Linked DNA regions of Xenopus tropicalis. The protein of the gene in region 1 interacts with the protein of each later gene in a pairwise test. Links are inferred from orthologs where the notes say so. Each region holds a gene or a part of one and is shown on either strand. Other genes may lie near its edges.

Region 1 (3,659 bases):
GGCAGCAATCCCCATAAGTGGCCACCTGCACAATATTCACACCTGCCATATCACCGCCCAGCTTTGTTGGATTGCTACACACATTAAAATGACCAAGTCCTGCAAGAAACAGTCAGGCAGCTGGCTAGCTATAATTCCAAATCAGTGTATTTCAGCTTACTTTTTACAACAAAATGGTGAGAGTCTGCTTAACTCACACAAGGACACACAAATCCCAAGAAACTAGGGATGGAAATGAAAAATATCCCAGGCCATCAGCACCTTATAACCACTGACTATTATGAAGATAATTCTTGTAATGTTCCTTTACAAACAATATAACATGTTAAGAAAAGGTCAGTCATACCCATATTATATGTTCTTTGAGAAACCTCTGTGTTCACATGTCTATGAAGATTTTTATTCATCCAGGTCATGGTATATCTAGTATAAATAAATTTAAAGCAACTGGACTTGTTTGGTAATCATTGAAGAATCATTGGTAATCCTATCAAAGTAACTCCACAGCATTCACACCTCTGTGAGTTTCAGATGTCACCTTTCTGAAGAGTTACAAAGTGCCATTGTGATTGGATTAGTGGGAGATTAGTGCTGAGGACTTCCCATACCAGTCAGTTGAACTGAAGAAGCTGCTCGGATGAGTAGTGAAACGTCTTCAATGTTTACCAAACAAGTCCAGTTGCTTTAAATGTATTTATACTAGATACTTTGGGGCACATTTACTAATCCACGAACGTCCGAAAAGCGTCCAAATGTGTTTTTTCCGTAATGATCGGTATTTTGCAACTTTTTCGCGAATTGTCGCAAATTTTTTGAGCGCTCAATACGAAAAAGTCGCGACAATTCGCGAAAGTCGTAATGGCTATGAAAAAGTCGCAACAATTCACGAAAGTCATAATGGCTATGAAAAAGTCGCGACAATTCACGAAAGTCATAATGGCTATGAAAAAGTCGCGACAATTCACGAAAGTCATAATGGCTATGAAAAAGTCGCGACAATTCACGAAAGTCATAATGGCTATGAAAAAGTCGCGACAATTCACGAAATTTGCAGTGGCTATGAAAAAGTCGCGACAATTTGCGCAAGTCGTAACGGTTACGAAAAAAGTCGCAACAATTTGCGCAAGTCGTAACGGTTACAAAAAAGTACGAAAAAGTTGCAAAATGTTCGTTTTCCAATCCGAATTTTTCTCATTCGGATTCGTGGATTAGTAAATGTTTGTGTTCACAGTTTGGCACATCCCATAAAATGGTGCCTTATGGATACCAGTGATTACTTCTTTTTTTTTTTTAATTCAGGCAAGTTTATTACCAATGATTACTTCTAGTAATTATATGTAAATGACGAGACACATTGTAAGAACTCTAAAAAGACATTTCTGTGTAATTTTATTTAAATTAAATAGCTGAATCTTGATAGGGGTGTCAGACTGACCTGTTTGCCCATCCGCTCCCCATCCACAAGAGTACACTTCTCCTTTCTCTGTCCTGAACAAACTGTGGTCTTGACCACATGCAACCTGAATGAGACAAAAACCCAAACCACATGAGTTAAGATATAGAAAGCAATGACATACATTTTTTAAGATAACCATCCTGTATGAACATATTTTGGCTTATCTACTTGACAAAAACTTTTGGTCATGATTGGTCTTCACTCAGACACTGATCAAACCAGTTAAAAAATGTCATTGGATAAGAACCTCATCGGGCTGGGGATCCTGTCTGAATAGCTTCCCCATGTAATCTGGTCACTGTCCAGGGGCCCAAAGGATAATAAAAATCCAACCTTGTTTACCACTTTGGTGTTCAAATCAGGCAAAGGTCATTTGGCAACTACACCAAAAAAAAAATGGATGAGATTCAATTTGAGATGCAATTCAATTCAGAAAAACGTATCTCTCTGTTTATCACATGAAAACTCTATTGAAGTCTATGGGAAGAAAGTGGAGTTGAATTAGAAGAAAAGTTTTTCTCCTTGAACTGAATTTGTCTATGAGTTTTCACATGAAAAACCATGAAATAACTTTTTCTCACTGAACTGAATATGAATTGGCCCTATGTTTGGGGATTCTGCAACTGCAGCATTTAAGCAGTGAAGATGCCCCCAGCAGCTCCACAGCTGTCAGTTACTGAGCTTAGGGAACAACTCACAATATACTGTATATAAAGAATATAAATGTCACATGTGATACAAGGCAGATTAGTAATTATTTTACACAATGTGCAATTTGCATTAGGGATGAAGGATTCGGATAGAAGTTGTTGCTCTGTTGAGTATTAATACCCAATGATAAATGCAGAACCTATTCTGATTAAATTAACACCTTTATCAGTTTTAGAAATGTTCCTGACATTTAGGACAGTTTGATAGATGGGAAAAAAATCACATTTGTTCTTAAATCTGTCCCTGCATCTTGCATATAGAAACATTTATTAATTATAAGACTAGCACTAGACAGATAACACAACCACTTGTGTTTTTAATGTCCTAGTTTTTGATGATACTGGTACCTGAACCACTCTGCTATCCAGCTCTCGGACCCTGTGAATCAGCTGGCTTTCACTAGCAAAGAAAAAAAGAGCAGAACATTAGAGCAGTACAAAGAATGGTAACAATAAGCTAAACTAACCCCATTACAGCCATTTCAGTATGTACAGACCTAAAAAAAACAAGAACAATAATAATAAGAAGTATTTGGATAAAAGTAGCATTGTTTTAGAAACAAAACATTTTAATTTACTGGTAAAAAAAAAGTTGTTGTTTTCTGCTGGAATGGAAGAGTTCAATTTTTTAGTACTTATGTGACTTAGTCTGTGTCTCAAAACACACTACACTACTGCTAGAAGACTTAATAATTACAGAAAAAGCATTAAGGAGGCTTAATGGAGTAAAAAAAGGATTCAAATATAAAGAAATATATATATTAAATATATATCTGATTCTTTTAACTGGAAATAAAATTAAAAAAAAGCCTTACATTTAAAAACGTAAATGCCATGAGACAACAATTCTTTACAATTCCATTTAATTTGAACTTACACTTGCCTGTGGTAGGGCAATTACTCATGACATATTTTGATCTCCACTACTCTGAGAGGATATCAGCCTTATTACATCTTCACATTGTGAACCACATGGGCAACAAAATCCCTCATCTTGGCACTCTGGTATAGCTAGTTCCAGTTAGGAACTAGCAAAAGTAATGCCAGGTTCAGGCTCTAAGGTCCGTGACAGACGGGGTGATTAGTCGCCCACGACAAATCTCCCTTGATGCAGGCGACTAATCTCCCCGATATGCCATTCCACCGACAGGCAGATGAAGCGAGACCCACACTGCATCGACAACTAAATGCCATCCCACCAGTGGGCAGATGAAGCGAGACCCACACTGCATCGAAAACTAAATGCAATAATCAAATTGCAGTCGAGTGTACATATTTGGTGGCTAGTATTAGACATCTGGACATCAGATGCATGAGAACCTAAGCACTATATGAAAGTCCAACATATGGCCTTGCCCGTAGGGTAAGTCATGAAGATCACTGCAGAGGAATCATCACTGTATAACAGAATCTAAATATGATTACATTTTTATATGAATGATATAACCAATGACCCCTGTAAAATTACTATATTTCCTCATTTTAGCAAATTT
Region 2 (2,766 bases), on another chromosome or scaffold:
AATCCCATAGGTGTACGTGGTGCCACTTTATCGATCCTTCGCCTCCTTTAAATTGACACAGAGGAACCCTTGAACTACAGTCACCTTTGAAAGATGTGGTAACTCCAGGGTTCCTACAGCAGCTTGCATTAATAAACCGAGCACACTTGCATCTAAAAAATCAGGTGCAGACTTCATTTTGATGCTAAGTGCCGGAAGTGATGAATTGAGAAGATTTTCAGTGCAACTGTGTAAAAGTGCAAATACAATTTTGCATGTTTTAACATACTGGCTGCAATTGCATTGGGTGGCAACCTTGTGAGCACTATTATGCTGGAATCATGGGAAACAGACTGCATCGTGGGTAACACTTTGTGCCCTGCACACATTTTGGATCCAAAATGAGCCCTGTAATGTGTTATACTGAACAGTACAAGGTTAGCCAAAATTTTCAGTAGTTACCTTTAAAATAGATAAGGCAGCGATGCCCAACAAGGATCTTGGAGGCCACATGCGACCCTTCTGTGCTCAGCTTGTCAGCTTCACATTAACGTTGCCAAAAGAAAACGTTAGTATATTTATTTTATTAAAATGTTTTGTATTGAGCTAAAACAGAGTAGTCAGCGCCACACTGAGCTGAGAGAATGACGTCAAACTTAAAATCTTCCATAACAATAATATAGTGCCCATTGTCCCTTGCTGCAGCAAAAATGTGTACAGCAGTAACCACTTCCTAATTTTGTCTGGTGTAGATACACAGCCTTCTTCATGTTAAAACCCATAGTCTTTTATGTGACATGAAGCTGCAGACATAAACACACAGTTTGCCTTTTAGGTCCCTTCACTCCCCTTCAAGTCGGTGTTCTGACCGTTCTTCATCATAGAACACTGGCCCTGTTCTGTAGCGAGGTTCTTGCTTCTCATACCAATCGCTAGTGTTGAACTCAGGGAAAAAAAATGTGATTTCACGGCAAGCTGATTCAACAGAATCTAAATAAAAAGAACATTTTTTTTTAACAAAATACTTTTTATTGGTTTTGACACTAAAAAACATATCCTAACACAAATTAGTACATAAAATTCAAGGGTTTACAAATAAATGGGATGGCAGGCACCTCTGTCTATGAACATTCCCAATTACCTTTCAATGTTTTCTCAGCCTAAAACTGGGTCTATTTCCCTTTTGTACATGGTTCCCAGACTTTCTGATATTTACCTTACCCACCCCCCCACCTAATCTCGTAAGTCAGTTTGTATAGAGCAGGGGTACCCAACCTTTCCTACTTGTGAGCCACAGTCAAATGTAAAAAGACTTGGATAGCAACACAAGCATCATAAGGCTAATGTCAGATGTGGCATTTGGTGTATATTTTCGGCAAGCAGAAAATCTCTTGCCGAAAATATCGCCATAAGCCTCCTACCCGAATGAATGACATACGCTCGGGTGCAGGCACATATAGCTGATATCCGCCAAAGATATGAAGTCTTGCGTTTTTTTGGCGGAGATCGGCTACATGTGCCTGTACCCGAGCGTATCTCATTCATTCGGGTGCAGGCACAGGTAGGAGGCGTTTGGCACTATTTTTGGCAAGCGATTTTTGGCTTGCTGAAAATATACGCCAAACGCCACATCTGGCATTAGCCTAAAAGTTAATGGAGGTGCCAAATAAGGGCTAAGATTGCCTATTAGGTAGCCTCTATGCACACTATCAGCTTACAGGAGGCTTTATTTGGTAGTAAATCTTGTTTTTATTCAACCAAAACTTGGCAGGTCAGGAATTAAAAAAAAACTGCCTGGTTTGGGGGCACTGAGAGCAACATCCAAGGGGTTGGTGAGCAACATGTTGCCCCCGAGCTACTGGTTGGGGATCACTAGTATAGAGGTAGCATTGTATTTACCAACCACTTCCATTTTTTAACTGTCCCATTCCCAAGTTACTCTAGGACCTCTAGTAGAATTTTCTTAATGTTGGTAGCATGCCTAGTTTTTCTGTCAGGTATTTTAGGACCATTTACCAGTCTTTATTAATCCTGGGATAGTCTCACCACGTGGGCAGGAGATTGGCTGCATGTAACATGAATTATTTTCTTTGTGGCTGATGAAATGTAGTTTTTTGGCATAATGTACACTCTTGGGCTTAATTACCAATTTTCGAGATTGAATGTTTGCTTATTTATTAATATGAAAAACTTGCTTAAATAAAAAAAACTTGAATACCATCAATTTGTGAATTTACAAACTCGAAAAAACTCGAAAATCTCAAATTGAAAATATGGCTTGACTTTGCCTAGGACAACTCAGCCATGGACTTCTATAGAAACTCGCAAGCTTTTAGATGCCGAAGTTTTACATTTGATATTTAGGGTTTTTGCACTAATAAATGTCAGACATTTTAGTTTTTAAACCATAATTCAAATATTGTGAGTTTTTTTTAAAGTATTTGTTTATTTGTTTTAGAACAGACAAAACAAGAAACATTTACTAACAATCATATTCTGAACAGCATATAGAGAAATATATCGAATTATGGTAAAAATTTGAATTCAATGTTAAGCCACCCTCCCCCCTGTAGGAATTCACACTGAATGAGTTTGTCCCTACCTGACACTAGATAGGCATATGGGCCATTACTGACTTCTTTTTAGTCTTCTGCCATTAGATTTGGGATATCTTTATGGTACTTCTCAATCTTGGGAGCGCTTGAGTGATTTATATACCTAGACACTATTTTGGTGGGGGAGGGGATCCATAACTAGTCCTCTACTGTGTTTGGTCTGGGGCACAGA

Evidence for each region.
Region 2: the proteins of rcc1l (region 1) and nme6 interact in binary tests that used the Homo sapiens proteins (3 or more experiments, as listed by UniProt). The link is inferred for Xenopus tropicalis from reciprocal best matches to the Homo sapiens genes RCC1L and NME6.

What each region holds. Positions count from the first base shown.
Region 1 is NC_030678.2:101,938,497-101,942,155, forward strand, and holds part of rcc1l (RCC1-like G exchanging factor-like protein), read right to left. Parts: intron 2,567-3,659; coding exon 2,515-2,566; intron 1,521-2,514; coding exon 1,436-1,520; intron 100-1,435; coding exon 1-99. UniProt on the Homo sapiens protein: Guanine nucleotide exchange factor (GEF) for mitochondrial dynamin-related GTPase OPA1. Activates OPA1, by exchanging bound GDP for free GTP, and drives OPA1 and MFN1-dependent mitochondrial fusion. Plays an essential role in mitochondrial ribosome biogenesis.
Region 2 is NC_030679.2:89,495,771-89,498,536, forward strand, and holds the end of nme6 (nucleoside diphosphate kinase 6), read right to left. Parts: intron 970-2,766; coding exon 821-969; 3' UTR 549-820; downstream 1-548. UniProt on the Homo sapiens protein: Major role in the synthesis of nucleoside triphosphates other than ATP. The ATP gamma phosphate is transferred to the NDP beta phosphate via a ping-pong mechanism, using a phosphorylated active-site intermediate. Inhibitor of p53-induced apoptosis.